3 linked regions of the Lonchura striata genome follow. The protein of the gene in region 1 purifies or fractionates together with the protein of each later gene. This does not show direct contact. Links are inferred from orthologs where the notes say so. Each region holds a gene or a part of one and is shown in the gene's direction. Other genes may lie near its edges. The genes, in order: WWOX, VOPP1 and WBP2.

Region 1 (10,907 bases):
ACCTGAAGGATCGGAGGCTGAGTGGAGGCACAGGTACTGCTCAGTGCCCACTGCTGCATGGTGCCTGCCTGGCCTGTGCCCTCCAGCTGCCTGGGCACCTTTGGGAGCAGCCTGGGTGCAGGACTGGCCATTCCCAGCCAGATTCCCACTGTCTTGCTCTGCTTTGCCTGAGATGGCAACATATGCCAGGTCTGAGGGCTGAGAAATGGCATTCAGAGAATTCCCTCTCCATGCAGGCACAGTCTTGGCAATGTGCTCACTGTACCCTCTTCCAGGCAAGCCAGGAGCTATGCCCACTGGCCATCCTGGCTAGGGGAGGGTGCCACCTTCCCTGCACACCCTGGGCAGCCAGGGGAGCTCTGATCCCAGCTCACTCCTTTCCTGGAGCGTGGTAGTCCAGGGTTCCCACTGCCTGATGCCCAGAGGTTGCATGCCCAGGAGTGAGCCCGGTGTTCAGCCTGCCCAGAGCAGCCCTGCTCTGCTGTCCCTTACCTGGAGCTGCTCATGTTGTCACACCACCGCTTGCTGCAAGCTTGTGCCCAGGCTCAGTCGCATCGGGGAGCAGGGCTGCTGGCAATGTTGGCTCAGTCCCTCAGGTTTTCAGAGGGATCTGAGCACCCTGGCCATCTCTCTGTGCCCGTGCAGTGCCATCTGCCAGCATGACCCGCCTGGCACGCTCCCGCACCGCCTCCCTCACCAGCGCCAGCTCCGTGGATGGCACCCGCCCACGTGCCTGCACCCACTCGGAGAGCACCGAGGCCATGGGGCAGATCAACCACACCATGGAGGTATCGTGCTGAGGTCCACGCCCGCCGCCGACGTCTCCTTCAGAGCCATCTCCCATCCGTCAGCATCCCGCCAGCACCCACCTGCCCCGTGGACACCCTCCACCAGGGCCCTCGCTTCTTTGGGGTCAATTTGTCTTCTTTGCCGTTGGCCTCATCCCCTTGTCTGGTACAGGAGAAGGAGAGGGGCTTCATCCAGCAGTCACACATGGTTCTGCACTGGTCCTCACCCTCCCCAGCATCGGCTTGGCTCCGGCTTGGGAGGGTGGGTGGCAGGGGGACAGGGCCAGGATGGGGTAGCAGGGTCAGGGTGATGAGATGGGGACAGGATGTTGGGGTGGGACGGAATGATGGGGTGGGACAGCACGTGGAGAGGACACAGGAGGTAGGTTGGTCTCTCAAGTTCAACTGATGGCTGCCTAAAAGGAAGACGGGAACAGGGAGCAGCGCTTAAAGGGAGGTCACTGGTCTGTTCTTAGGGATGCAGTTTTCATTTCTCCCTGATGGCCCTCTCTAGGGAGAGCTAGCATGGGATCCCCCAGCACACCCAGGACTTGCTACCCCAGAGCTGGCTGAGCCTCGTGAGAAATCACATCCCAAACTGTCCCTTCGCCCTGGTCATGTACCCTGAGGGCTGCCCTGGGGCAAGTGAAGAGAGGTCAGCCCTACTCCAGAAGCTCTAAGGGCAGGAGGGTGGCATGCGTGTCCCCCTGCCTCTGTCCATGCCCTCACTGGTGGTGGCACTTCCTTCATCCCTTGTTGCAAGAAGGACAATTACTGTCTGCCACCAGAAATGCACTGGGGAGGGGGGAATTGGCTGGCTTGGCCCCTGTCACACTGTCAGTTCCACTTCCAGCTCTTGGGCTGAGCCTGCCAGGGTTCAGAGGCCACTGTTTTAGGGGATGTCACACAGCAAATCCCACCTCAAGTTTTGCCACAACCTGTGGGTGTCATCACCGAGGAGCCATTAGCAATAAGATGAGACACTCCCCCCACCATTCTGGGGAGCCCTCAGCACCCTCTGCCCCACAGGGTGCCTCACCACAAGGTGCTGACACTGTGGGGTGCCCTATGGGATGTGGGGAGCACTCCATGCTCTGTCTTTGCCCACACAGCTGCCAGACCCACCGTGGCTCCCCAGATCCACACCCCAGCTCCAGCATTTTGCCTGCGCGCTGAGCGGGGCGTCTCTCAAGGGCTTGGCTCCCTCAGGGCCGTGGGGCCCCCTCTGGCCACCAACTCCAGGTGGCTCTTGCCTCTTGCACTCGGCACGGAGGCTCCTGCCATTGCACAACCCCAGTGATGGCCACCCAACCTCTGCTGCCGTGCCCAGCCCCTCCTGGGCACGCTGTGAGGCACAGCTAAGGGTGGCCCTGCCTCTGCTGATGGGTGCTCAGGTCTCTGTAGGTGGTCCATGGGGGACCTGAGCAGGGAACCCACCAGGTGCCACCGCCTGGGCGAGCAGAACCAGCCCGCTGAAAGCAGGTCCCACCCAGCCCCACAAAAGCATTCTACCCTCAGAGCCCATCCCTGCTCCCCAGTGAAGGGCACAGAGCTCCTGGGGCTCCCAGCGGGTGTATGAGGGCTTTTGGCCCTGAGACCCATGCCCCACCCAAACCCTCTCATAGTAAAAGGCCACCCCAAAACACCAGTGTGCCCCTTTGTCCCCCACTTTGTTCTGCTGTGTGCTTCCTTCTTGGTGTGACTCTGAAAGCTACGTAGCTCCTTTTTACGGTAGATACCGCTGCGATCTCTTGTTTTCTCAGCGTGTCCTTCCAGATGATATATATATATAAATACCTATACATAATATATATATAAGGGTTTGCCCAATACCTGACCTTTTTGGGTTCACTCCTTGCATTCTTGTCCAAGCAGTGCCGTGTGGTTTCCCTGGAGGTGGTGTGGCCGTGCTCACCTTCAGTTCCTCACCTTGGTTTTGTTGGTTGGTTGGTTTGGTTTTCCCTGGTGGTTTGTTCTTTTGATTTTTGTTGGTTTTCCTTTTTTTCCCAGTCACAGCGGAATTTAACATGTTTTCCTGTCTGAGTGCAGCCTGGTTTTGTCACAGCGGCATCGAGGCCGCAGCACTCATGAGACAGCAATATGTAAACCGGATTTAACTAACCTGTTGCTGTAGAGAGGAGTTACTGTGTTGGAAATAAACCAACTAACTAATAAAGATGTTAAGAACCTGCTGTGCTCTTTACAACATGCTGTAGGGAAATGGGTCTGAGCCCACCTGGGGCCTGCCTGCAGAGACTTGGCAGGCACGGGGAGGACAAGGGGGACACACCTTGGCCACCAGCCCCACTAGTGATGCCCACAGGACCCCAGGGTGCACGTGGGGGAAAGCTGTGGGGTGCTTTGGCTTCAGGGTAGCCATAGCCAGGCTGCCCTGTATGTAAAGAGTGGATGGAAGCTGGAAAGCTGCCAGTTGTAGCCCAGTGAGGTTGGATCCAAGGGGCGCCCACTGGGGAAGAAAAGATCTGTGGCTGCACAACTCTGGGGATGAGCAGGGTCCTTGGGAAACTCAGCTTCCCTGTCCACTGCCAGGGCCCCTGTTTGTCTCCCCATTAAGTGTCCCAGGTCTTAACCCTTTCCAAGTGCATGAAGTCCTGCCTGGGAAGGATCCTGTCCCTGCATCCTAGTCCTTGTGGAGTCTGTCAGTGTCTGCCTTGTGCTGGGTCACTCCAGACTGGTCCCAGGCCCTGCAGAGGGGCCCAGAGCCAAAGCATGGAGACACTGTGGCTGTGTCCACACTCATGGTTCCCTGGGGGAGGCACAGAAAGCCTGGACATGTGGGGGGAATGCAAAGGGCCATGGCTGGGATAGGATGTCAGACAAATGATTTCCACATTCCCACTGAATGCAATTCATGGAGTGCTAGATGCTGAATGCTGACAGACTGCAGTAGGAAGAAAACTGAAAACTCCATATCCCTGCTACTGCTAGATTAAAACTCTGTTCTTCAGATTAAATAATCTATTTTCCTGGGACTTGGCCCATCTCACCATTCAGTTACCTCTTCTTGGACCAGAAGCAAGTGAGTCACTGAAGCTTCCCTTCCCATATATTTACCCAAAAAAAGTATAGTCACAGTTTTTTTTAATACTGCCAGTAATACTCTCATGAGAACAGGCTGTTGATGATGCATGAGTTTTTATTTCTAGCAGGAGATCATTTAGTACGTGTAATCCCTTGGAGGAACCTGCAAAACAATGGGAGCAGCAGGGCAGAAAAAAATTCAGGCTGTTTTTTCTGGCCAGATATGGATGCCATTAGCGGGGAGTGAGGGAACGATATAGGTCAGTGTCTCAAATAGTGCATGAAAATTCGACTTAGAGCCTGCGGTGCATCTGTGAGGCTGCACTGCCATCTGGTGCGGTTTGAAGTGCTCACAGCCTCTGCCCAACGCCGCCTTTGCCTTGTTTTTTGTTTAAAACACCCCACCAAAGGACAACAATGCTGTTACAACCGCTGGCTGTTGGGTTTGGTTATGTAAACAGGAACATGACAGCACACAGGTCTGGGAATCAGAAGCAGCTGAGCAATGGTGCCAGGCACTCCCCCTCCATCTGTCCCAGGTGTACAGGGGAGAGGGCTTCAGCTGCCAGGACAGAGTTACTGCAGGTTTCTGCCAACTCCCTGAATGCTCCAGCCTTAGCAGCCGACTGTGCTGTGTCCCCAGGTGAGCCAGGCTTGGCAAGGGTGACTGTGTTTGTGCCTCCCAGCAGGTGAAGCTGCCTGCAAGGTCCCAGGTGGGTGTTAGCACAGACAGGTACTTCTCTCCTGCCAGGCCTTCCTCAGCAAGGATCCCTCGCTGATGAGGAAGATCTCATCCCCGAGATGAGGTGGGGACAGCTTAAAGAACAGTTCATTTCCCATTGCTGCCCAGGGCCTAGCTGTATTCGCTGCTCTGAAAACAGGGCTGGAAGCACTAAATGCACAAATTCACCAAACTGCTCATATGGGAAGGCACCTTGGCAGATCATCCAGTCCAATCCCCCTTCCAAGGCAGAGTCACTTGCAGCAGGTGGCACAAGAACATGTCCAGGTGTGTTTTGAATGTCTCCAGAGAGGAATTCACAACCTCTCTGGGCAGCTATTCCAGAGCTCTGCCACCCTCCATGTAAAGAAGCTCTTCCTCATGTCGAGGTGGAGCTTGTGTTGTAGTTTCCGGCCATTGCCCCTCATCCCACTGCTGGGCACGACAGAAAAGAGCCTTGCACCACCCCCTTGGCACAGTCTTTGAGATATTTCTATGCATTGATGAGCTCCCCTCTGAGTCTTCTCTTCTGCAGACCAAACGCCCAGCTCCTGCGGTCCCTCCTGACATCGGCTGCTCCAGACCCCTGTGGCAAGCGCATTTCTCTCCCTCTCTGGATTTTTCATAGAGGTGCACAGAGAGAAATGAAAGAGAAAACAATATATATTCCTGCTCCTTGTTTTTCCTATGTGGAATGTGTTTGGAGAATTGTTTAGCTGGGGTGAGTGCTTGGTTGAATTCTGGTGAGGATTGTTTGAGGTCTTGGCCAATCCAACCCACCTGGGGCTGGACTCTCAGAGAGGGTCATGAGTTGTGGGAGGGTTAGAGATAGAGTCAGAGAAAGCAGTATGTAGTTTGAGTATCCTCCTTTTATATAGTATATTAATGTATTTTAGCATAGTTACAATAAAGAAATAATTCACCCTTCTGAATTGAGTCAGACATAGTCATTTCTTCCCATTGGGTTCGCCTGCATTTACAATACCCCTCATCATCTGCGCGCCCTCTGCGGACCCTCTCCTCTATCTCCTGGTGCTGAAGATCCCAGAGCACTCCAGACGTGCCTCACTGGGGCTGAGCAGAGCACCCTAAACCCCTGCCACCCCCGTTCCGCGCTCACCGGGGCGCCCCGCGGCGCCCATGCCCTCGGTGGCCATGCCCGCACCGGGCCGTGAGGCGGAACTACAGCTCCCATGGTGCCGCGGGGCGGGGCGGAAGCGGGGCGCTCCGGCCGAGCGGGCCGCGCCGAGCCCATGGCCGCGCTCAAGTACGCGGGGCTGGAGGACACGGACAGCGAGGAGGAGCTGCCGCCGGGCTGGGAGGAGCGCACCACCAAGGACGGCTGGGTTTACTATGCTAAGTAAGGGCGGGAGCGGGGCGAGCCCGCCGGGAGCGCTGTGGCAGGGTCCGCAGAGCCGCCCCTCGGTGCGGGGCAGGAGCCGCGCCTCACGGGCGGACCGCGGGGCGGGAGCGGGGACGCGGCGCCCGTGCGCGGTGCCCGCTGGTGTGCGGGACGGGCTCCGAGGCTGTGGCAGCCACAGCCACCCTGTGGAATGGTGCCCGAGTGCGCGGTGCCGGTGCGCGCGGTGCCCGAGTGCGCGGTGCCCGAGTGCGCGGTGCCCGTGTGCGCGGTGCCCGTGTGCGCGGTGCCCGTGTGCGCGGTGCCGGTGCGCGGTGCCGGTGCGCGCGGTGCCCGAGTGCGCGGTGCCCGAGTGCGCGGTGCCCGAGTGCGCGGTGCCCGTGTGCGCGGTGCCCGAGTGCGCGGTGCCCGTGTGCGCGATGCCGGTGCGCGCGTGCCCGAGTGCGCGGTGCCCGTGTGCGCGGTGCCGGTGCGCGCGGTGCCGGTGCGCGCGGTGCCCGAGTGCGCGGTGCCGGTGTGCGCGGTGCCGGTGCGCGCGGTGCCCGAGTGCGCGGTGCCGGTGTGCGCGGTGCCCGAGTGCGCGGTGCCCGAGTGCGCGGTGCCGGTGTGCGCGGTGCCCGAGTGCGCGGTGCCCGAGTGCGCGGTGCCCGAGTGCGCGGTGCCCGTGTGCGCGGTGCCGGTGCGCGGTGCCGGTGTGCGCGGTGCCCGAGTGCGCGGTGCCCGAGTGCGCGGTGCCGGTGCGCGCGGTGCCCGAGTGCGCGGTGCCCGAGTGCGCGGTGCCCGTGTGCGCGGTGCCGGTGCGCGCGGTGCCGGTGCGCGGTGCCGGTGTGCGCGGTGCCCGAGTGCGCGGTGCCCGTGTGCGCGGTGCCCGAGTGCGCGGTGCCGGTGCGCGCGGTGCCGGTGTGCGCGGTGCCGGTGTGCGCGGTGCCGGTGTGCGCGGTGCCGGTGTGCGCGGTGCCGGTGTGCGCGGTGCCGGTGCGCGCGGTGCCCGTGTGCGCGGTGCCGAGCCGGCGGCACCGGCCCCGCCGGGGAGGGTCGGCGGAGCCGCCGGTGGGAGCGGCCGGAGCCATCCCGGGGCTGTTCCAGTGCCCTCGGGGCTCCGTGGGCGATCTTTCTGCGTTCTGGGTGAGGCTTACACAATGTTGCAGGTGGGTCGGTTTCTTCTTTGTGGGAACAGAAGAGAAGCAGGTGCGATGGGAAGTTCAACGCTGTGCATGGCGTTCCTCGTCTCTTCAGTGCACCTTGGGCACGAGATGAAGAATTGCGTAGGAATTGCATTTTGCACCTTCTGCCCGTGCCGCTGGACACGATTCCATCCTCCCAGGTTACAAATGCAGGATGAGCTAACTGAGGAGAATATGTGTTTATACACTCTCTCCTCTTGTGTGGTTTCTGTAGCCATGCTCATCTTGGGTTTTCCTTCCGTCTGTTTAAAGCTACAAGAGTTATTCCCTTCCACAACAAGGTGGGAAAGTATGCTTCAGTCTCACTGGTGGTGAGTTCGCCTTGTCCTCCCAGGTTCTGCCCTTATTAACACTGGACAAAATGCTTTAGTTTATCTACACTTTGTAAACACTGCGATTACTCTCTAGGTGTTTGTTTTGCTTAGGTCAATTGATTGTATATTTCCCTTGACTTCAAGAGCCCTGTCAGGAAGGATTCACTTGGTGAAAGTAACAAACCTATGAAATAACAAGGTGTTATTGAGCATAATTGTTACACAGTCAGTTCAACAGGTCAGTTTCTGAACTCTTGTGAAACTGGACTGGTTCAGTTTAACAACATTACATAATATATCTTAACTGTTTTAAAATCTTGCTCAATATGTCCAAAAATATATTAGATGTGAAGAGGTGTTACACTGTCGCTGCCTTTAAGTATACACTCTGTATGTGTGATTTTTCTGCATATTCTGGGAATTTACTTTAAACCTTATCATCAATATGAACTTCTAGCTGGAAAAGATTATTTTAGTTGAAGGCTTTTAAAGGTATTTATGATCACGTAGGTGTGCACACAGGTGGACACAGCCTGTTTGTCAGGCAGCTGTAATTTGCTTAAATATCTCCTATTTTTCTGGTCACACATGTGCACGTGTTTAGTCTCAGCTCCCCAGCTGTGATTCCTCTAATACCATGAGCTGTCACTGTGGGCTTGCTGTAAGAAGGGAAAGTTGCTTATGTTGTGTGTAAATTGCTGTTGGGCCTGTAGGTTATTTGTAATTATTTGTGTGTTATTTATTGCTGTTGTCACTCTTTATTTCACACTTGGGCAGCTATCAATTTGGGCACTCAATTAATCCCTGCCTGACTCTTAAAACTTGGTTATTATTTAAAAATACTCAGTGAAAGATGAGATGGTAATGTCCAACTCGATTTCAGCACTTTGGTTATTTTAAGACATTGTGTATATGCACATGACTTTGCTTATTAGTCTACAGTGCAGAAAATTTTACAATGGAATATTTTAATTCTGTTAGTGATTTAAATGAATGAAGTCTCCTATTTTGAAGAAAAGATAGGATACCATTGTTATGTATGTTAAATAAATATCCTGCTAGTCAAGGTCCTTGGATAAACTTATCTGTCCAAAGATACAATTGCTCATAGAAATCCAACTTACGTATATTATACTCTACAAATCAATATTCTTAGGCTGGAGTTTTAAAAAGGTACCTTTGTAATTTGAAGACTTTCTAATATTAGTATTACTAGCTGGTAATAAATTATTTTCTTGTTCTTTCTTCCTTACTCCTGCCAAGGATCATCATCTTTTTGAGGTGTCTTCTGAGTCTGTTAATGTTATTTTTAAATGTGTTTTTATGTTTGTTTTTTTTTCCTAATAATCAACAAAACCTGGATTGGAAGTCAAACATTTATTTGAATTTTTATAGACTCCTGTGCTCTCTGGTTGATTATTTTCAGAAGTGTGGGGAATATTTTGGGTTACATCAGAAAGCTTATTAGGCAGTTTTAAAAAATCTTAAACTTTTTATTTTCCTGCAGCCACCTAGAAGAAAAAACACAGTGGGAACATCCTAAGTCTGGGAAGAGGAAACGTGTTGCAGGAGGTTTGTGTTAAACTTCTGTAATGAGCTGACATTATCTTACAAACACCTGGTTCCTCCACAAACTCCAACTGATCTCATTTTGATCTTTGAGTTGTCACTGATTCTGAGTGGGTAGAATATGGCTGACTTCAGTGGGGTTTTACCCCTGTGATTGTGTGATGATTTGCAGTTTTATGGCTTTTCTGTATTGCTCCATAAGGCCAAAGTACCAATTCGAGGTTACACAGTTTGTTTTACTGTGGCTTGTAAAGGATATAGTCAAAAGCTGGGGTTCTGTGTTCCTGGTGTCCGTCAGATAATATTTATAGTTGGATAATATTTTTCAAAGAATGTATTTCATCAAGGAGTATCCCTGGCACAGAAAGAAGCCTCATTAGTTCTCATTTTACCTGTTTTCCCCAACCCAGCTGAATATTTGTGCCAGAACAGAAGGCAGGCAGTGTTGCAGGAAAATTCCAGGGGAAAAAGCTTTTCAAGGACCTTGGGTCAGTGCCTTAAATCAGATCTTCCCAGAAGCTTCTGTACCTGGGGACACTACACTGTTGGCAAGCCATGTTTCTTTTGGCATTGGTAATCTGACTATAAGTGGAATGTTTTCACCAAGTCTGAAGTTAATGGAAGTGAAATGAATACTTTCTAGCTAAGGTTAGAAATACTCTGAATGCCATCTGTTAACTACCTTTGTAGACTCTTTGATATAAGAACTTGTTATGTAGAGATTTGTCATTTTCCTTCTATCTATCCTTCCAGCTTCATTGACTCATTTAGGTTTGATTTATTGTATCTCATGCCCACTTGAGGGTTCTGATCTTTCAGCTTTTGGTATGTGTTACACATAACTTTTCCTAAAAAGCTTTTGCTTTTTATTTTAGCAGGGGTAGATACTGAACTGTGAGTAGTATAGATCTGTATGTGCTTGGCAGCATGGTTGCATTTTGCTGTTTTATTTTTCTCTGCTATAACATGAAATAATCTTTATAAAGATTTTTTAGACTGTCTTTATACTTAATCTGCCAGCCATTGCACTTGTACCAGATCTTCTGTGTATTGTATTTCTAGGAGAGAGCAATTGTGTGTGATTAGGGAAGCAAACTTTCTGTCAAGTTCTGAATTCAAGGGCAGCAGGTAGCTGCACCACCTACAGAAAACTATGCAGAATTGTGTCTCATCAGAAATCACTTAAACTTCAAATTGAAGAGTATGCTAATGCCTAAAAATAAAGTTAATGTTTAATGTGCTTCCTAGATCTGCCATATGGATGGGAGCAGGAGACTGATGAAAATGGGCAAGTCTATTTTGTGGAGTAAGTATCTCAAGTTGTGGAGTATGTAGAAGGAGGACAGCTGGGTTACATGCTGAGTAGCCTCCTGAGTTATGATACTGTGACAATATCAGCTGGAAAGACAAAAAGATTAATAAATGCAGCTTCAGAATCCAATATAGACTTGCTATAAGAGAGAATATGATCTTCTCTAATGTAACAAGATTTTTTTTTTTCCCCATGCAAAGTCCTGCCTTTTATGTCAGGGGTTTGCGTGAAGTTCAGAATGGCTTGAGAAGTATGTAAATACAATTATTAATGGATGCTGTCACAACTGGAAAAATGTTTGATTAAAAAAAATAATTGGGATAATTTCAACCAAACTGAAAAAAAAATATTTTTGGGAATCTAAATAATCCACTGGAGTTGTACCCAGCAGTGGTTTAAATACATTTAAAATCTAAATTCAGAGAGCAGAAGGGTTCAAACAGTTGAGTTTTTGTGTTCTTTTGCAGCCATATAAACAAAAGGACTACCTACCTTGACCCAAGACTGGCCTTTACAGTTGAAGATAATCCAGTGAAGCCTACTACTAGACAAAAATATGATGGGAACAGTACTGCAATGGAGATTCTCCAGGGACGTGACTTGAGTGGGAAGGTGGT
Region 2 (10,256 bases), on another chromosome or scaffold:
TCACTTTTCCAAGGGAGGACACAAACTGCATTTATCTGCCCACGCCACTACTTCTCTAGGGCTTGGAGGCCATCAGTGATACACCTATCACCACTTGGAATCTCTGTCTCAGTCCCTTTCCACCCTTGTGCACCACTACTCTGTTTATGGTCACCGTGCTCTGTTGTGCCACGTATTCCTCTTCACAGTCCCACCCTGCTCTGTTTCATCCTCTTGTGGCTTTCAGATCCTCCTGACAAAATCTTACTTGCTTTCTGTCTCTGATTCTGCCTGGCCAAAGACAGGTTTCTTCTTTCACTCTCCCTCTCTCCTATATGTGCAATTCAGCCCTGTCCTCCTCTCCTGGCAGATTTGGTCACCTGCCCAGAAGATCTTTTCTTTAGTCTCTTTAAAAACTGTCTGCAGGCAGGTTGGAAAGTTACTGCTCTAATTTGACAGTGTTTGGTACTCACTATGCTCAGGTCTGAGGCAGTGCACACTACACCTAGATTCAACAGCATGTGTTTAGGCTTCCAACTATCCACCGAAATCAGTAACAGGAGCCCAAATAGGAATTCAAAGCCTAAATGTTTCATTGGCCATGAGCTTTGGTGCTGTAACAATACTCTGAATGAACTTAACCTTCCTTAATCCTTCCAGCAAGCACGTTTGTCATTTCACTGTGGACTGCAAATAAAGAGTTTGCATTTACAAATGATCTATCTTCCAGGAAAAATATAATCCCTCTCAGCTCCTGAGTTCTCTAACACAAAGCATTAAAATCTTTGCTGAGGGGATAAAACTTCATTCTTTATTGAGAAAACTGAATAAAAACGCATTTGATCTGATTGACACAGCTATTCTGGTTCAATTGGGTAGTATGTTTAATCAATAAGCTTTGCTTTTCAGAATACTAATGCTTGTAGTTGCTGCTTCTCAAAATACTGTTTGCTATAGAATTATTTTTTTAATATGATGGACAAATATCCAACTCCATCTAGAAATCCTGAAAGTCACAGTGTGTGACAGTGGGGGTGTTCTTTGGGAGCCCAGGTAGAATAGCTTTTAGAGAACCACCCCACTTTCATTTCTTAGCATATCTGTAAAATGTGTTATATTTTCTTTCAAGTGGACATAGACTTCCAGTGTAGTAGTGACTGTGGCTACCGGGGACTTTTATTTGGAGGTCTCAAAGCATAATCCAGTAAGCAGCCATTCTGTTTCAGTTCAGTGAGGTGTACTTAATGTCATTAGTTGTGGAAAAGTGACTTCTACCTGCAGTTTTCAGATATTGATGAAGAGCAATGGATGTAATAGAGTACTAAAATAAGAATCAGTCACTTTTTTTTTTAATCAGTGCCATGTAGCTCAGTAATATCCTTCCACACAAAAAATAAGTTATATTAGCATTGGAAAGAGGGCTACTACATCTGGGTCATCTCTCTAAACCTCCACAGACTCTTACTGAAATATAATTATTGAAGATAGAGACAATGGTATCAATATGCTACTGAATTTGGAGCAGGTTGTTGAAACTTCAACAAGTCCTGAGTCATATTCCCTTTAAAGTTTCATTTAAAGTCAATCACAATGATTAATTACTGGTGCAAGTGATGAAAAAAAAAATTAGCCTTTATTCTGGGAAGTTGGACTAATATTTAACTATTATTCTGCCAAGAGACTGCACCTTTGTGTAAGCTGCTTGATAGTTAGAAAAAAATGGTGTTTTTTTGTTTTTTTTTTTTTTCTTTAAACACACCCTGGATAAACAAATTGCTTTGAACAAGAAACGGAAGCTGCAGGAATATAACGTTGTGTTTGTCTTGGCTTGCTATTGCTGCATTCATGAATATTTTTCCTACCATTCTTTAAAATTAATAATGCTAGTGTAGTTCTCAACAGATACCAGTGATGATTTTTGAAGGCTTTAGGCACTTCCTGAATATTTTATGTACTTTAAAAGGGCTTTCTTTAACTTCCTGATAAAGGCTATTGCCATTTTCATATTTATAAAAAAACTCCAAGTCCTCAAAATATATTTAAGGTGATCCTACACTTAAAATAGAGAGTTGGGAAAACAATTAAGGATTTGGCTAATTTTTAACAGCACCTGTGAAGAAGGTAGTGAAATATTTTAAATACAAAATTGTAGAGGTAGATAATTATTTACAGTTCATGTAGGGAAGCAAATGAAAAGAATGTATTTGTTTGTTCATAATAAAGTGGTTACCAGCTTCACACACAGCCCTTGTGGAATTGAGTATTTCTCAATAGTATTAGAAACAACAGAATTGTTTCTACAGAAAAAATGAAGTGTTCATACAACTAGTTTATTTTTTACTTATTTAAAAATATTCAACTGTTCAAAATAAATAAGGTCTACAAAATATACACATCTATATGCGCTGTGAGTGCCCCCTAGGAATTTTTATACCTGTTACTCAGTTTGAAAAAGAGAAGTTGACCAAGGAGTGGCAGTCTCAAAAATAATGTATGCTCTTACGTTTCAGGAAAGAGAGGTAGTTGAGTAAAAGAAATATGTTAATATTGGCAAACTCTGCTGAGAGAATTATGGCAATATTATTGAGGAACACCTATGAATCCAGAGAGAAGCAGAATATTATTAATATTTCAGCTGCAGTACAAGCCTCAATCAGGTAAAATAAAGCTTTGTTACTGTCACTGCTCCTGTAACTATTTCATTTCGTTTTAAAATATATATATATTTGTTTCTATACAAAGATTCTGGAAGCTCTGTAGTTTTAAGCTTTTTGAACACAGTAACCGAAGAGAAACTAGAATCAGGATGTGAAGGAAGGGGTTGGTTTTTTAGCTAGAGACCTTGCCTCCCACAAAAGCGTTATCTTGTTTCCCCGTTGTGTCGGGCTGCCTCGCCATCAAGCTGCTGCACGGTGGAGAGAAAGTGTTAATTTCTCGCCTAGACAAGCTCTAAGGGGCTCTGCTGCAACTCGCACTTCTGTTGAGAAAATGCCACACGCTGAGCCAAGTTCATTTGTATTTGAACTCCATTGAAGCTAATGGGCTTTCCCTGGGGATGAAGACGGTTTCTTGGAGCTAGGTATAAATGAAAGAAGACATCAATAAGGGGAGCTAAGTTATGGTTGAAATAGAACATGAAACTGTTTATTTTGAGGTCAGGAGATGTTTTTCTTTTTTCAGCTTATGTTGGCCTGGAAAGAATTTTATAGCTCGGGATATCCATACCTTTATCTAGGCTGAATAATAAACTATGCACTGGGAAGCACATGCTTCCACACTGGATAGCTTCCTCCAGCCCACTGCTGCTTCAATCTCACTCTTGCTAATCTGTCTATTGATTAAAAATTTATAATAATTTCAGCCTTTCTTGCCTTAGCTGAAATCTTTTTTTGAGGAAAAAAAAATTCTAACACTTTCTTAGTTCTCAAGCTAAAGTCAGTAGTGATATATGTGTTAACCAGCAACCAAAATGTATTTAAGAGCTTGCTCTTGCCCGAGCACATTTGACAGTGGGCCATCAGCTGAAAATTTTGGCAGGGTCAGCCTTCAAGTGTGGTAGTGTCTTAGGCTGCAAGACTCCAGGCTTCTTTCCTAAGTTTTATTTATGCTTTAGTACTTTCTCAGTTCTCCCAGAATTTGTGCTGTCTGCCTGTCTTTGGGCTGCCAGAGCACCCTTGCTGGGAAACACAGCAGTGGCACAGAGCACTCGTGCTCAGCACTGACATTCAGATTCATTTGATGTCCCTAAACATCTTTATGCTCTTATTCATCTTCTCTATGAAGAGTCATTGAGTGTTTCCAAAAAGCTGTCTCCTAGGTCATGGAACACAGAAATTAGGAATGAGAAGGGAGTTTAGGGTTAGCCATACATCAGGACAGAGCTCTGAAAACCATCTTTTTCACACTTCTATAAATTGGAGCCTTTTTGAACTGATGCCTATGTTGAGACAACATAAGCTGATCCCTCTTAGGTGATACCCAGTGCAGAACATACCTTTCTCAATATGCCAGATGTAATAAAGTGCAACATTTCAACTGAGATTATATATAGACACCTGTGTGTATAATTGCCTTATTCAGACTTCACTGTTGGACAAAGCGATGGCCATGACATTTCCTTAGGGACCTTCTAGCAAATTCAAGTAGAGATGCAAGCATTCATCTGAAAAATTCATCACACAACTTCAGATTGGTTGGCATCAAACAGAGACAAAAATAAGTATCAAAATGAGTGGCCCTCAAGAAGAACTTGTGCAGGGTGCCTCTGAGCACGCAATGTCATACAGTGTGTGGGAACCTGTATACAGCTACTCCTTACTTAGAGCATATGACCTGGGCCTGAGAGCACATATGATTAATGGTACCAGCTGGAAGATGCTTGTAAACTCACCCAAAGTTCACTGTATGGAAAAAGTAACCAGCTGATGATGTTTTGCTGCAATGTGGCATCAGGAGACAGCAAGTTTCCTGCTTGACTACTATGATGACAGAGAAGTGGTGAACAAAGGAGTTGTGAATTGTGAGGATGTGCTAGTAGTTTTTTAATAGGTAACCCACAAAAGAACAGTGGGAGGTGTATCTCCTTCAGAAATGCTGGTGGGAAAGGTCTGCCATTCAGAGGGAAATGGAGCAGTTCTCCCCCTTATCTATTTTGATTTCCCCCTGAGAATTAAGTTGCTAGCTTACCTACAAAGCAGGAGCAAGAGACCTCTAATCCTCCTAAACTCAGAAAAGAGCTGTGCCTCCCTCCAACTGCATACAGTGTGCAGCTTTGGTAAGGGTGCAACGGGCTTGGAAAAGGAGGCTCAAAGCATCAGGACAAGATGGTCATGATGAAGGAAATACCCAAGGCATAACTACAGCAGCCACCTGCAGCTGGAGAGATCAGAACTGGGGTTGGAGAGCACCTCCACTCCAGTTCAGGATTTGTCATGAGACCTTCACAGGTAGATATCCCAGGGCTGTTACCAAGCATGCTGAGGAAATGACTCCTCTGAAATGCCAAAGGGTACTGCATGGGCAAGGGTGGCTAGACACACAGCTCCTGTTCCCACCCACCAGGCTGGCAGAGGGAACACCTTATAGAATCACAGAACCACAGAATGATTTGAGTTGGAAAGGACTCTCATAGATTATTCCATGGAGAGGGACACCTTCCACTACACCAGGTTGCTCAAAACCTCATCCAGCCCAGCTTTGAACCCTTCCAGAGATAGGGCATCCACAACTTCTTAGGCAATCTGGTTCCAGTGTCTCACCAAACTCACTGCAAACGATTATTTCCATGTCCAACCTAAATCGACTCTCCTTCAGTTTCAATTCAATGCCCATTGGTCTATCTCTACAGATAAAAAAAATCCGTCCTTATATTTCTTATAACCCCCCCTTTAGGTACTAGAAAGCTGCTTTAAAGTGTCCTCAGAAGCTTATGTTCTCCGGGCTGAAGAGCTCCAACTCTTAGTGTTCGTAGGAGAGATTATCCAGCCCTCTGGTCATCTTTGTTGCCTCCTCTGGATTCACCCCAGAAGATCGCTCTTCCCGGGAAGGGGTGTCGTGGTCAGGGGCGACCCGCGGACCGCGCGGCTCCTCGGAGGAAGGAACCCGGCACCGTCCCCTCGGGGCAGGTGCGGGGGCGGTGACGGGGGCAGGGGGGATGCGGGGCAGGGCAGACGCGGAGGCAAAGGCGGGATCACGGATCCGCGCATCCGCCGCCACCGCCCCCTCCCGGCCGGGCAGCGGCCGGGGCGGGGCCGGGGCAGGCCGCTGCTCCGCCCGCCCCCGGCGGCGGCGTCTTTGTGCCTCCCGCCCCAGCACCGCGGGTCTCCACCTGGCCTCGCCCCGACCCTGCTTCGCTCGGCCCCGGCCGCCGACGCTGCCGCTGAGGGGATCAGCGGGTCAGCCCGCCCTCGCCCTGCCGCGGGGCTTCCCCGCCCCCTCCCCGCCCCACCGCCGCTCTACCCCGCCTCGTCCCTCTGCCCCCGGTGCGGGTTACTCGCGGCCGCCTCCCCCGGCTGCCGTGAGCCCGCGGTGCGGCTGCCGCCCGGAGCTCCCCCGCCGTCGGGGATGGCGCGGCCGGCAGCGCCCGTGCGCGCCTGAGGCGGAGGGGCGAGCCCGCCGCCGCCGCGGGAGGAGGAGGGAAAGGAGGAGGAGGAGGAGAGATGAAGCGCTTCCAGCCCGGGGTCGCGCTGCTGCTGTCGCTGCTGTGGGAGGTGAGGTGGGCCGTGTGGGGAGCGCTGCCCTGCCCGGCGGCGGCCGCGGCAGCGCCGGGTTCACCCCGCGGGTCCGCCATCGGTCGCGACCTGGACCTGCGCGGCTGGCGGAGGGGAGCTGCAGCCCGCGCCCAGGCGGGGGGCGTGCGCGGAGGCGATTCATGTTGGGTTCATGTCTTCGCCGGAACGGCCTCGGCTCCACGGGCGGTGCGCGGTCGGGAGTGCGGCGGGGCCGCGGGGCCGGGCTGCGCGGGCCCCGGCGCGGCTGCGGGCGCCGTGGTCACGGGCGTTCGCGGCGGCCGGGCTCGCCGCGTGTCCGCGGTCTTACTGCTGGAGCAGAGGAAGATTATCCGCCGTGTGATGGAGCGGAGTAACGCGGGACCTATACGCAGGGGCACAAGCTGCTGGAAGCTGCCCATTCCCAGCAGAGTGGCAGGCTGTCCAGGGGACGCAAAGCCTACGCCAGTCAGTAAGGGTTAGACGGAAGGCGCGTCTCTTATTTTCATTATTCTCTTATTTGCATTTCGTGGGCAGTGTCCATTGCGAGGTAGGTAGGGGGGCAGCGGTGTCAGCTCCCGAGGAGCCGGGCGGCACCGTGCAGCGTGGTTGAACTTTGGGAAAACCTGGATAGCGCAGCTTTCGTACTTACAACAACCAAACAAACAGTGAACTAGGAGCTTTCATTAACTGCAGGGCGGATTTGCGCTACGCAGTTCCAGACGCATGGAATAGTTTGGATTGGAAGACACTTTAAAGATCGCCTAGTTTAAACCTCCCTCCCGTGGGTTGGGATGACACTGGATGAGTGGGTTGGGAAAGCAGCTCTTTTTTTTTTTTTTTTTTTTTTTTTTTTTTCAGCAGGCAGATGTTTTCTGGGGGCGAGACGTTTTCTCTCGTCTGTGGTTTAACCTTCGGGCTGGGGACGGGCAGGGGGGCAGCAGCACCCCCGAGCCGGAGGATTGCGGCTCCCGGCGGCAGGCTCGGCAGCGAGCTGGAGTCACCGCCGGGACACGTGCGGTGGCAGCGTGCCAGGGTGACTTCGGAAACACCCGTGGGCTTCTCTTAGGCACATCTCTACGTTCATGAAACCCAGAAGCAATGTAGCTGAAAGTGTCCGAGAGGTGAAAGAGCTGTGTTGCCTCTGTGACAGAGCAGTTTAGACAGGACATTAATTAATTTTTTTTAAAAAACGGCATGCCACCAAACTCCATATATGGAAACCAGAGTGCTGGCTGTGTAGCTACTAATTTTGGTAATGGATATAATTAATGAAAATGATGTTTACTACATGTTTATGCCACCTACGTGGATGAATGATTTCTGGTGTGTTGCCCACTGTGCCATCCAGCATCATCCCATTAAAACACTCAGATCAAAATCATTGCTTAATGTAAATAAGCATAACTCTTTACAGGTTAATTGATTTGCATCTCTTTTCCCTGGCTGTAAACCTGGCCTTGGTTCTGGCCCTTAATTGCACTTGACTCCACAGCAGCTCTTCAGAAAGCAGGAATAGCAAAATGTCGATTAAATGAAACAAACACCACCATTTCCCCAAGAGATTGTGTTCATCTGAGACACTGAAAGGTTTCACCCCTCCAGGATCCCTTTGATTAGACGTCTCTGCTCTCTTAACGTGTATTCTGCTGAAAAAGATCATTCCTGACTGCAAAAAGTAATTTGCATAAATCCTCATTGGGTCTAGCCAGTGTTGCTGTTATTTAAGCTTTTGTACTGGTTTTAATTGTGGGTTTTTTCCCCCTTTTTTTTTCTTTTAATCTAGAATGTTTGTTTTGCCATCTGGTTTTGTGGATTTTTTTTTCTTTTTTCTCGGGAGTTCTTACATTGCCTATTAAAATGAGATGCTGTGTAAATAAGGCTGTATTCTACATGCCCAGAAATGGGGTGCTGGGGGTTTAACAAACTTAATCGGAGACATCTGGTTGCTTTGAAGATTTTTGGTGCATGAAACTTTTGATGTCTTCTGGACAAAGTTCTGCACTGGATATTATCTGAAATAACATTGTTGCAATCGTTTTAAATCTGTTTGCAACTCCAACATGATCTTAGTAATTACTGAACAGAGCTGAGAAATATGGTTTTCATTCATCAATTTGCAAAAGGCTCTGACTCTTACCCAGGTACTGTGGGGAGGAACCCATTTAGTCTGCCAGGGCACTATGCAGTAGTTTACCGATTCCAACTATGTTTTCCCTGGGTAGATTACCCAAAATACTTGTAAAATATTTATGTGTTGTGAAACCACTATTTATGGTTATATTGATGAAAGGAATGAACTTGACAATTAAGTATACATCAAGTTCATGGTGGGTGTGAGTTTGGGTGTGGGGAGTGTGTGTGTTCGTATTTTCAGACTGAAGTCTAGTCAGTAGCTGGCTGTGGCAGTCTCTCCCACGAGGAACTGAGGGTTTGCTGTTCCTGATGTAAAGGCAGAAGATGCAGAAGAGGGGCTTGAGGGGCAGGGGCATGTGCTGGTGGGTGGTTTCATGAAGGTGACAAAAGGCATCACCATCAAAGCAGGATTTACACATAAGAAATTGCTGGCTCTTGGTGCTGAAATACCTCTCCTTATTCTAGACAAGCTTGAGATGCACTAATTACAGAAACAGCCAGACCAGTGTGATGGTGGGAGAAGGGAATTAATTTTGAGTTTTCTTGTGTGATGAGGGCTTTTTCAGTGCAACCACAAAGACCATGGTAGTAGAAAAATCTCCAGCCTCAAGACCCAGAAAGCTCTCCTCTGAGAAGACATTATTAGGGGAGAAAAGCTAAAGATGTCCTGTGTTTTGCTCATGACTTAATTGCAGTTGAACAGCTTAACAAGTAAGGTAAAATGAGGTGGACAATTTGACAGGTAATTTTGGTTCTTGCAGGAAGAAATGAAGACTGTTGAATCTTTATCTGTCTTTTTCAAATTAATTTGACTACTTGGAGATAGCAGTGTGTTATTAACTGCAGTTATTTGAAATGCCCTTTTTCACCAGGAGCCTGGATGACTGGTGTACTCACAGTACTGACATCTATGATTTCTTCACTCACAAATAACCAGTAGTCTTGCTTGCTAGCTTGGCTCGTGGTTCTGTCAGCAGAACTGTATTTTGTCTCAGTTGGCTCTCAGTTTTATGGAAAGATTTGAGGAGGTCCTTGAAGTGATGACTGTTTGGGGCATATATATCAGTATTTTCTGCTTCTCTTTAATCAGTGATCCCAAGGGCTTTGGTTGTCTGAGCTTAAATATGACTTTAATGAATAGTGATGTCTTTGGAATAGGCAAAAAATAAAACTAAACAGGCAGTCCCCCCACCTCCTGATAAAGCAAGCTTATTTTCAGCCTGAATGAGGGTACCAGTGTCTCTGTGGGGCTTACATCTCAGACTGAGTGCTTGCTTTCTCTCTCACAAGCTGTAGCAGTGCTGGATGGAGGAGAGCTCAGCAGCTGAAGCTCAGCTCAAGGATGGGGAAGCTGAACAGAGCTGTTGCAGGCCTATAGAGGACCCTATCTGTGCTACAGTGGTAATAATGGTGTTTTATTGTTGCTGCTGCAGAGAAGCTTGCTGGGTAGCCTCAACTTTCAAAACTATCAAATAATTTTAGATGCCTACACCTCTGGTTGGCTCCTATGTTGTATCCAGGAGAGTCTAGTGATCAGTAGAGTCCTCTTGTTAATTTGTCAGATGAAAGATACTATGCAAGAGTCAAGTGCCTTTTTTAAAAAGAACAAGAAAATGGACATGTCATAGGAATGGCAAAATGTGTTGTCTTGAAAGAAAATTCAAATACTCCCGACAGTCTGTCATACAAGATTTGTTTTAGTAACAGCAAAGTTGGCTGGTACTCCTCAGTTGGTTAACTGCTGTATTGAGCTTTTTATTATTATTCTTGTAAGTGGGCTTCAACATGAAAGATTTTATCAAATCAGAGAAACCAAAAATTTCTGTCCTTCCTGAAGAGGTTTGTTTCTAGTTTTTCTTTGACTGTTTGTGTTTTGGGTTTTTTTTGGGTTTTTTTGTTTTTTTTTTTTTAGTCTTTGTAGGAACGAGAATGTTA
Region 3 (10,779 bases), on another chromosome or scaffold:
TGTGCATCTGCCTTGTTTGCTGCAGGACTCTGGGCTGGTGAGAGTTGTCTGCAGCAGCAGAATGACAAGGATCACGCAGTGGTGGAGCAGAGTGGGGCAGGAGAGGCTGAGGCTGGAGGGTGCAGGGCTGGGCTTGAGCCTCCACACCCCACCTGTTTGTCCCCAGCCTTACAGGGGATATGGGGTCACATCTGACATGTCTGTAGGGGACAAGATCTGCCTCAGTGGCACAGAGCAGCAAAACCTGGCTCAAGAAGGGTGTGCTCTTCTGCTGTCAGACTGAGACGTGCCATGGTTCAGGCTGCAATGCAGTTGATAGTGATCCATGCCCAGAGTTGTTTCCTGGAAGAACTTCCTTGGCCATCCTCTCTGTTTGGTATCCACCAGTGGCTCTCACATGGCTGCACTTGCTGGGGGATGCCTGTTTGTAGCTGTGGCATACCTGGCTGTTCTCTATTCTTAGGGTCTCTCTCAAGTGCATTTATCATATTTGCCTGAAATATGCTTTTATGTGAGATTTCCTTACCAGCAGTCTGTCAGGTGGATCTCCAATGCCTGGTATCACAGTTGAGCTCATCAAGCAGCCCCTCTGCCCTCTCCTCTGCCCAGTTACCTCTATTCATCCTGCTTATGGGACTGTCAGCTCTTTCAGCCTTTCATCCTCATTGACTGCGATTTGCCATGGGACTTAAAAGCAAGGGGACAGAGTGATGGGAAAGGTCAGAAAGGATCATGCTCATCATCAAAGGCTGGGGCAGGGAGGATTTCCTTGCATTTCCCTCTGCACACTCACTTCTTCCTCTTTCCCCACGCAGTTGCCTTCATCATCGACCTGGACAGTGACACAGCTGACAAATTCATCCAGCTGTTCGGCACCAAGGGGGCCAAACGGGTGCTGTGCCCCATCCCCTACCCGGAGAGCCCCACCCGCTTCATCAACTGCGAGCAGGTGCTGGGTTTGAACCTCATGAACAGAGGCAACTACTACTGGGAGGTGGAGCTGATCGACGGCTGGGTCAGCATCGGGGTCATCGCCGAGGACTTCGACCCGCGGGAGGCCTACAACCACGGCCGCCTGGGCAGGAACGACAGGTCCTGCTGCCTGCAGTGGAACGGCCAGAACTACGTGGCCTGGTTTGGTGGCTTCGAGCACGCCATCCAGCAGCCCTTCTTCCACACCATCGGCGTCTTCCTGGAGTATTCCGAAAGGGCTTTAACCTTCTATGGAGTCAAGGATTCCAAAATGACCTGCCTGCAGCAGCTCAAGGTCTCCCCTTCCGCCAAGGGGAAGCTTGACCCGTTCCAGAGCAAGATCAACCACCAGTTTGCCTCTCTTTTCTCGTGCAAGCTGAAGCCAGCCTTCTTCCTGGAGAGCGTGGATGCCCACCTGCAGATCGGGCCGCTGAAGAGGGATTGTGTGTCGGTGCTGAAGCGCCGGTGACTGCCCGGGGAGAGGGGCACGGACAGAGCCACAGAAATCTCTCCTGCAGGCTATTGCCACCTCTCTTTGGTAGCCCTGTCTGTCTCTGTGGCAGCCCTCTCTCCTCTCTGCACTGTTGGGCACTCAGGGCTGGATGGAGCCTCCTGATGGGCAGGGCTGGGGGCCAGGATGGGGCTGGATCCCAGTGCCAGCTGTGCCCCTGAGTGAGCTTGGGCCAGTCCCTGTGCTGCTCCCTGCCCCTTGATTTCCCTTTCTGGACATCAGGGACTGCCACAGCCTTTCTTGGTAAAGTGTGCTGCTTGGAAGTGCCACACGGATTTAGAGCTGTGCCTTGGCCACCTGCCCAGTCCCTCTGCTTCACCTCTGCTCGCTCTGCTCCGGCGACTTGTGCAGATGCTTTGTGCCTTATCTCAGGCTCTGTGCTGATGCTTTTTTAAGTGCTGCCTCATTGACACCTTCTGCATGCTCCTCGTGAAGTGCCTTTGATGGAGCAAGCCCTGTGTGGCCCAGGTGAACCCCCAAAGCAAACGTGGTCACTTCCCATCCCCTCTGTGCCCTGGCATGGGAGAGATGGTGCTCCAGGGAGAGGGACATGGAGGAGCCTGGCTGGGTTTTGGGGTGATGCTGGGGTGATGCAGCACCTCTCCTTGCAGGGCTGCCCACCATTAGTGCTGTAAATGTGAAACAAGGATCTCTGCCCAGCTGGGAAAGGGAGAAACCTCCTGCTGAGAAGCAGAACCACTGTTCCCACCTGGAGATGGGGAAGGGAGCAGCACAAACCAAGTCTTGAGGATATACTTTAAGTAAACACATTCTTTGGTAACTCTTAGCAAAGCTTTACAGCCAAATTTTCCCCCATGTTTTTGATGGCACTACTGTTCTGGGGGATTTTAGTACTGTTAAATGACCAACTCTTCAAGAGCCCTGGGCACACTTGAGCTGAAAATCTGCCCCTTAGCTTAGGGATTTTTAAATGACAGAGGTGCTGTGAATATGTCCCAGAGATAAATGGTCTGGTTTTAGTGTTGTAGGACAGCTGTGAGTGCCTTGATAAAGGTGCAGCATCAGTCAGCTACTAAATGACCCTTTGGACTCTGGGAATAAGTAACAATTAACAAAAATTACTCTCAAATGAGAGGGAACACTGTTCCCTTCAGGAGAGGTGGAAACTCGAGGCTGAGAGACAAAACTGCCAGTTCACATGTCCTAAGGGAGCTTTTTCAGAAGGAAAAAGCACAGAGCAGCCCCTGTCTCAGCACAGCATGCCTTTCCACAAGTTTATTTTTTCTGGGTTTATTTTGCTACCTACCTCCCAAAGCTTGCTTTACAGAACCGTGGTGCTGTATAATGTACACCTGGAGAGAAAATACAGAGGGTCAGGTTCTTCACTGGCATGAGTGAGTCAGGGATGATGCAACAACCAGCAGGAATAACAAGCAGCCCATTTAGCTAAATATATGATATATAGATTTTTTTTTTTCCCAAAGGATAAGCTGAAAATCATAGTGCTATATTGAAGTGGAGCCAAGGGAAAAATGTGAATAAAAGGCAGGCACAAATCTGGGAGGTTTGCAGTTAAAGCCACGTTTACATGCTGAGGCTCAAAGAGCTCCTTTACTGTGACTCCTTTGCCAGCGTTGCCAGATTCTGCTGGTGCAGAAAGAGCTGCCAGTGCCCTGAAAATTAGGATATTTTAGTGGATGAAGGGTCTGAAAGCAGCCACCCCTTCCCCAGGACAAGGCTGATGAGTCAGTTTGGGAAGGGGCTTGCTGGGATCTGTCTGCAAATTCCTCCTCCTCCTCCTCCTTCTCCTCCCCTGCAGGAGGTTACTCCTAAACTGCTGCGAGCAGTGGGAAAAGGAACAGTAGGGCTTCCAGAATGAAATCTCCAGCTGAAATCTTGGCCTTTCCTGGCTGGTGGGAATGCTGCCCAGACTTCTGTCTGGATGGGAATTCATTCCCTGCGTCCTGAGCTCCAAACCCTCTTTGTTTGGCTGGCGCCAGCAGCCCCTGCAGAGCTCAGCCCTTGCACGAGATGTCAGCGGTGACACAGAGCAGGCACGGGGGCAGAACGTGGTGTCAGAGTTCCTGATGCAAGGAGAAAGGCAGAGCAGTGCCACAGCCTGTGCACAGTCACATCCTGGCAGGACAAGGAAGGGAAGGAGCCTTCATCGCTGCAGGAAGAGATCTCCCACGTGGGCCCACGTCTGCACCCTAAATCTCATTTATTCAGGCTAAACTCCCACAGTTTGCAGCGAGGAGCTATGCCAGAGTAAACACAGCACATCTGGGTCTTTGCCCTGTTTTGTTTCTCTGTAGGAGGATTGATTGCTCCAAGGGGAAACCCACACTGGAGCCACTCATCCCACCCCTCTCCACTTTCCCAACTCGGACACAAACCTCTGGCCTCCTTCAGGGCTTGGGAAGCTCAGAGGGATCTTCTCTTTCCACCCTGTCACGGCGTGGGAGCAGCTCAAGAAGCCCCTGGGGTGTCTGGCCATGGTGTGTGGTTGTGCTGCTGCTTTGGGTGGGTTCAGGGATGCAGCTCCACGGAGCATCCTGGGGGCTCCTGTGGATGTGCCGCAGTTGGGAAGTGCTGCCCAAGCCTCTCTTTCCTGCTGCTTGCTTTTATCCTGGTTGGGAGTGCTGAAAACCCTCCTGGTTTAGGGATGGTTTAAAATAGGAGCAATCCCCTCAGGAGTTGGGTCAGAGTGTGCTCTGTGCTGCCAGGAGTTTGTAAACTGGAAGGATCAGGGAACGTGCACTGCGCCAGCTCTGGATCCCTGATCTTGCTGTAAGCAAAGGGTTAAACACAGGGTGAGATGAGTTGAGATGGGCCGACAGCACTTTTAGCAATTTAATCAGCCTTTCCTTGTTCCCTTGGGTTATTTCTGCTGTCACAGAGTGTTCCTCTTTTTAATTAGGATTTTTTAAATACAGTAACTGTAGGGTGTTTTACAGTGCGTGAAAAAACTGTAACAGAATAATATAATGGTGTTAGAGACTATGATTTGACCATTAAATATGATACAATCATTGCCCTGGGTTGTCTTTCCTTTAAATACCAAACCATTTGACTTGTCCCATTATCTTATGTTTATTTTTCTGTGTCCTGTACATCTGGCATAAAATAACGCAGATTTTATTTTCTAAGTGTGTCCAAGGGAATTCTGCCATATACACATTTTTATTGCAGAAGGAGCGGAAGAACCTTAAAATCCAATAATAATTGGCAGCCCTGGGCAATTCAAAACAATGAATTGTCTCAGTTCTCTCTTATATGTCTGTCCTCATCCTACAAATAAAAAAGATTATCAGATTAGGTATTTTTTCCTTAGTGTTTTTAAGTTTTAGAGTATAAATTTCCAGGGTTTTCTGTGTGATGAGGAGGTCTAGAGCTTCACACACACACAGGCAATTACAGCAAGCATCTTTGTAAAGTGAAGCCTGCTTTTCTTAATCCCAAATGTCAACTGGAGTTAGGATAAAAATGTTACTTGGTGAGCCTTAATTCATGTGAGGTGCCAATGCTCCATCTGGGCGTTTCAGTGGAAGCTGAGTGGATTCTGCTCCTGACTTTAATAGGAGAAGAATCAGAACTGTTTGTTATGGCTGTTTCTTAAAAGGGAAACTTACTGCTTATTAAAAAAGCGGATATGAAAAGCACAAACTTGTCATTTTCCTGCCAAGAAACCATACAGATTATGTCACTGCATTTATTTAAATCTGGTTTCCATTATGTCGTTTTTGTGCTTTCCCCCACTGCTCGCATCTGGTTCTCAGGCACTCAGACAGAACTGGGCTGCAAATCCAGGGAATAGCTCAGATCCATCTAAAATTATATAATAAAGGGTGATACATCTCTGATTTGTATATTATTAATATACAGCTGTCAGTTATTGATCTTTGGGAGCCCTTCAAACAAGTTTGCAGGTTCCTTTTTTAAATGAAGTTGTGCAATCATTACTTTTTTTAATTCCTCCAACTTGCACACCTGAAGGTAAAGAGTTTAGACCCATCCTGCAGATGCCACAGCTATTTTCTTGCTCCCAGATTTCTGACAGACACACAGACACGATCTTGGCTTGTTTACAGGGCAGCTGGTTAGTCTTTCTAGTTTAATACACTTCAGTATAAAGGGATTATTTTGGATGTGCTTGATTCCATCACTGAAAGCAGCCAACAACTGGATCAAAAATCTGTTTGCAAGTGTGCAAAACCAGGAAATGCACATCAAGTGGGAATTTAAAAAATTATGGGAAATGAAGCATCTTCGCCGTTTAAGGGGATAAACCTCATTTCACGTGCAGAACCGCCAGATATCCGGGATTATTTTTATTTTACGCCACCAATTATAGAGAGACAGTGCCAGGCCCTGAGGCGGTGAGGTCAGCCTACAACTCCCAGCATGCACCGCGTGGCAGACATGGAGAGTGTAAATGCCGCGCATGGACGGACTACAGCTCCCGGAATGCTCCGCGCGGGCAAATGGCCGGGCGCTAAGGTGGTGTGAGGTGGACTACAACTCCCAGCATGCACCGCGCGGAGAAAGATAAGTTATCCGCTCCATAGATGGCGGTGACTACAACTCCCAGCATGCCCCTCGGTCCCATTGACGGCGCAGCTTTTCCCGCGCAGGCGCAGAGCGGGGTCGATGCTGTGAGGAGGAGGAGGAGGAGGAGGCGGCGATGGCGCTCAACAAGAACCACTCGGAGGGCGGCGGCGTCATCGTTAACAACAGCGAGAAGTGAGGTGCTATCCCCTTCTCCCCTCCTCCGGCTTCGGGAGCCGGGGGATAGCGGCGAATTGCCTTCTCCCCCCGCCCTCCTCTTGCCTTCCCTCAGGGGGAGCAGTTGTGTGGGTCATGGCGGGGCGTGCTGAGGGGGCGAGGCGCGTAAAGGGGGTGGCTTAACCCTCTCGGTGCCGGCGTTCCCCCCTCATCTCCCTACGGCTTAGGGGCTGTACGCATCCTCCTGCCCCAGGGCCTGTGCGAGGGGAGCTGCTGGGCTTCAGCCGCGGGCCTTGCCCCTCTGCACCGCTTCCCTCAGCATCCAGCCTGTCCCCCAGCCTGCTGCTGGCTCTTGCTGCTGTCCCCGGGAGGGCTCAGGTGATCTGGCTGGGCCCAGGCCTCTCCCCGCTCGGCGGGGCTGCAGCTGCACCGTGCCTCAGCTCAGGGGCTGCCCGCCCCGGGCTCCTGGAGCTCAGCCCCCGTTCTGTGTGTGCGGGAGGCAGCAGCAGCCTTGGGAAAAGGTGCTGGGATATAACCATGGAAACGGCAAGGCTGCACAGAGCCGCCTCTGTCTGCACGGCAAAGGGCTGTCCGCAGCCCTGTCTGCCAGCGAGCTTCTGACGTGGCAGGCATCTGCTTCGGGGACAAAGGAGTGCTTCATCCTCCAGCCCTTCCTTCCACGGGGCTGCTTAAACATTGGTGTGGGAATTCTGTGCCTGGCTTCCACTTGGGATGTGGCCTTTCTTAGAAGGATCAACTCAGGTACTTAGATATGCATTCCCTGAGAGAACTGCAGCAGCTGAAGGGGTTGCTGTTCCCAGCTGTCAGCCTGCCTTGCACCAGGGCCTGCCTGCTGATCCAGCTGAAATGCTGCAGCCAGAACAGAGCTGGTCCCACTGCCCTTCCCGAGCTGTTCTGGAGGGACAGGCATTCACTGGCAAATGACTGAGGAAACACATCAGCTGCCAAAGATAGAGGTGGTGGAGATTTCTGCAGCTTTAGGGATTAGAGTCCCTAATGTGGGTGCTGTAATGTCAGTACAAGTTACCTGCCATGTCCGTGCAAAGGTTTTAATCAGGTCAGTTTGTAATTGAGAATTAAGGAATCAGTGCAGGCAACACAAGTTAATGAAGTCTTGTGGTGAGGAAGGGGAGTTCTTCTGGATCACATTTTTGTGTCAGAGGTGCTTGAGACCTTCAACAGCCGTGTTACATAAGCCAGCCTGGGCATTTTCTTCTCCTGCAGTTCTTCCTCTGTCGTGTCACTTGTGGGCAACTGAATTAGGGAACTGATCCAGCAGAAATGTGAAACAATTTAAAACAAAAAAAAAAAAAAGCCCTTGAGATTTTGATCAGCTCAATTGACCAGGTTTGCTGCCTGCTTGTGCAGACAGCAGCAGCAGCTGTGTCAGCACACTGGGAAGGGAACAAGCAGCCAGTGCTACTTCAGTTGCTGCTGCCAACAACAACAACCAAAAAAAGGCAAACCAGAACTGAGTCTGTCTGCTCAGCATCTCCCTCAGTGCTGAGGTTACAGGTGGTTTTGGTAGGTCAGTAAACTTCTGTGCATGCTGCACTTGTGCCTGGAGCTGTAACTGCTGTCTCTGTGTCACTTGTGCAGTGTTTTGATGACCTATGACCACGTAGAAATCACCTTCAGTGATCTGGAGCCGATGCCAGAGGCCTTCAAGGGCACCAAGAAAGGGAGTGTTTTCCTGACTCCCTACCGGGTAAGTGGAGAAAGGCTTTATCTCATCTAAGGAGATAACAGCCCTGGAGTCTGTTTAAATGTCCTCAGTGTATAAAAGTCAGGATAATCTACTCCTGCTTGAAGTGTGGCTCATCCTCTCCCACTGGGAAGCATTGTGAATTCATGGTGTATCCCATCTATTTGTCAGCAGATAATAAATCTGATTAGTTCTTGTCCAGGCAGCTGTTTAGTCCATCGGGCATCTTCAAACTGGAAATTAGCAGTGGTCTGGAAATGCTGAATGCAGCAGCACAGCTACTAAATCATAGCTGTGTGGGGCAGCAGGTTCTCAGGAAGCTGGAAGGAGCATTACCTGAGCAAGGGACTTCCTGGAAGGCTTTAGTACTTTGAGGATTTGGTTTACCCCTGTGGCTGCTGTGTGTAGCTTTTGGCTTGTGGAACTGGTGATATTGGAGTGAGTTTCAGTCCATGGAGAAATCTGTTCATGAAATAAATCAGGGCTGTGTTTCCTGTTTGTTTTGACTAGCTCTTTTCATGTTATTTTCTTTCAGGTTATCTTTGTGTCAAAGGGGAAGGATGCTATGCAGTCATTTGTGATGCCCTTTTATTTGTTGAAGGATTGTGAAATTAAGCAGCCAGTGTTTGGAGCAAATTACATCAAGGGCACAGTGAAGGCAGAGGCAGGAGGTGGGTATCACATAATGGATGTTCTGTGTCTCAGTTCAGCTGCTCACTCATAGCAAAATCCTGGCTAACCAAACCTTGACACTGTCCAAATGGGTTTTCACACTCATGTGAAAATATGTTTCTTTCACTGGCAGCTAAAAACATTCCCCTTACCAGCTCCCTGCTCAGCTACAATGAGCAGATGTGCTCTGCAAACCATCTCATTTCTGCCCTCTGCAAAATACAAAATTCAATCAAACAAGTGATCTCAGCAAATAAACACCAGAGTGGAGTCAGCAAGAATGAAGATGTCATTTTGCTTTGGTCACTTGGGATCACCTATCCCACCTGCATCCAGGTTCTCCTGTGCCAAAAACTCAGATCCTTTCTGCTCTGTTTGGGTTCAGGTGCAGACCCCCAGAGCCCTTTCTCCATTGTGTTTCTTGTGCAGTTCAAGGGCAGGTGTGGTATTGCTGTAGTGCATCCTGGCAGTGAAAATGGCACTTGGAAGGGAATGGATTATCTTGAAATTGGGGAATTTAAGGAGCTGTTTCACATTAAACTCAATGAGAAGGCTGTGGCAGACATTTTCAAAAATAATTTTGGTTTTGACTGATTTTTTTTTACCAAAGGCACAGAGTTCAGCAAACTTTCATCCTCAGCTTGATTCAGTCTAACAGTTGTGGCACAGAAATCACAGCACAGGGTGTAAAAGCCTTCAGCTGGAGTTCTGAAATCAGCTTTGTAGCCTCTGCATGGGAGCTGAGTGGGACCATCCAGCATGGGAGGGAGCCTGAGCATTAATGACAAACTAAACTGTGTGAAAGGCAAAAGGTTTTAGCTAGATCTTCATTAATTTTCCCCAGAGGCCATCTCCTTTAATGATGATGTTGTCTTAACAGCCATGAGAGTCTGGTTTAGCTTAAAAAGCTCTTTAATCTACTTGTGTCTGTTTCAGCACAGCTTCTGCTTTGATGCTTTCTTGGGACTCTGGACTGTGCATGTTTTTCTTTTTTGTACTGTAATGTGAGATGGCACTAATTTATTTGTTTTCTGATTTTTTTTATCCTGACTTGAAATATCTTCCATGGGCTCTAATGGATTTATGTGGACTATGTTTTCCATTAAGTTCTTTGCTTTTTTGGGCACTCAGACTCCCAAACTAATTTGGAGCTGACAGGTGTAGTTGTAGAGGCTTTTTAGCAAACAGGATTAACAAAATCCCTGCCTTCTGCACTAATCTTATCCAAAGCAAGAGCAAATCCAGCACTCCAGACAGTTTGGCCTCTGACAGCTACTGTGGCAATAGCCACAACTCCAGAAAGCTTCTGAAGCTCTCCCTCATGGATGTTTCTGCTTCAGGTGTCTCTTGACCTGACAATACCCCAGTGTGAATTTTTCTGATGATACCATAATTCTCCCACTTTCTCTGCTTTTTTTTTTCTTTTTTAATTTGGATTTTTGGGATAAGCTCTTTTAAGAATTATATACAGAGCATCTGTAGGTGCAGCATGTAACCTAAATAGCATGGAAATGGTTTCTCCTTCGTGCTGTCTTTCCTCCCCCAGGTGGCTGGGAAGGATCTGCCACATTCAAGATGACCTTTTCAGCTGGGGGTGCAATTGAATTTGGGCAGCGGATGCTGCAGGTGGCATCACAAGGTATGGAAGGCTGGGGGTGTCTGCCAGAGTTCTGTGGTTTCAGGAGCCCTTGCCTGATGCTTGATTTAAAACATACTTTTCTCAATCCAACGAGCAGCAGATTTATTGGGATGACACTTATTTGTTTTTCTGATAAGGTCTCTCTAAGTTTGTTGGAGTTGTTGGCCTGCTTTTGAGGCAGGCTTGATGTTCTGATGAGTCTTGTCTTTGCTTTCCCAGTCTCCAGAGGTGAAATACCCAGTGGAGCTTATGGCTATTCCTACATGCCAAATGGATCCTATGCTTTTGCACCACCTGCAGCTAATGGGGGCTATCCATACCCACCTCCTCCTCCAGGTAAGCCTGGCAACTGAGGCTGGGGGTTATTCCAGCAAGGAAGAGTTAAAATAGGTAAAAAGGGCAAGAAAATCAGATTTTACTCAATGTTTTAGTGATGACTTGTGTAGCTTTTTTTCCTGAGTTGAATTACATTTGCCTTGGCTTCTTTTGGTTGAGAACTCCACCCAGAGGAGTTAAGCCTCTTGCTGTGTGATCTCCTTTCCTGACAGACTTTTATCCTGGTCCTCCTGCAGC

What was found.
Region 2: the proteins of WWOX (region 1) and VOPP1 purify together in Homo sapiens (affinity purification with mass spectrometry; 3 studies listed by BioGRID and IntAct, with this or other methods). This does not show direct contact. The link is inferred for Lonchura striata from reciprocal best matches to the Homo sapiens genes WWOX and VOPP1.
Region 3: the proteins of WWOX (region 1) and WBP2 purify together in Homo sapiens (affinity purification with mass spectrometry; 3 studies listed by BioGRID and IntAct, with this or other methods). This does not show direct contact. The link is inferred for Lonchura striata from reciprocal best matches to the Homo sapiens genes WWOX and WBP2.

Annotation. Positions count from the first base shown.
Region 1 is NC_134615.1:17,594,448-17,605,354, forward strand, and holds the start of WWOX (WW domain-containing oxidoreductase), read left to right. Parts: upstream 1-5,775; 5' UTR 5,776-5,804; coding exon 5,805-5,911; intron 5,912-8,916; coding exon 8,917-8,981; intron 8,982-10,226; coding exon 10,227-10,284; intron 10,285-10,757; coding exon 10,758-10,907. Other genes in the region: protein NDRG4, read left to right, coding at 1-33, 646-800. UniProt on the Homo sapiens protein: Putative oxidoreductase. Acts as a tumor suppressor and plays a role in apoptosis. Required for normal bone development. May function synergistically with p53/TP53 to control genotoxic stress-induced cell death.
Region 2 is NC_134603.1:105,251,870-105,262,125, forward strand, and holds the start of VOPP1 (WW domain binding protein VOPP1), read left to right. Parts: upstream 1-6,010; 5' UTR 6,011-6,137; coding exon 6,138-6,188; intron 6,189-10,256. UniProt on the Homo sapiens protein: Increases the transcriptional activity of NFKB1 by facilitating its nuclear translocation, DNA-binding and associated apoptotic response, when overexpressed. May sequester WWOX in lysosomal vesicles and thereby regulate WWOX role as tumor suppressor.
Region 3 is NC_134621.1:4,387,052-4,397,830, forward strand, and holds the start of WBP2 (WW domain-binding protein 2), read left to right. Parts: upstream 1-6,065; 5' UTR 6,066-6,128; coding exon 6,129-6,187; exon of another isoform or gene 6,188-6,192; intron 6,193-7,789; coding exon 7,790-7,898; intron 7,899-8,430; coding exon 8,431-8,566; intron 8,567-10,113; coding exon 10,114-10,206; intron 10,207-10,425; coding exon 10,426-10,542; intron 10,543-10,754; coding exon 10,755-10,779. Other genes in the region: E3 ubiquitin-protein ligase TRIM47, read left to right, coding at 816-1,441. UniProt on the Homo sapiens protein: Acts as a transcriptional coactivator of estrogen and progesterone receptors (ESR1 and PGR) upon hormone activation. In presence of estrogen, binds to ESR1-responsive promoters. Synergizes with YAP1 to enhance PGR activity.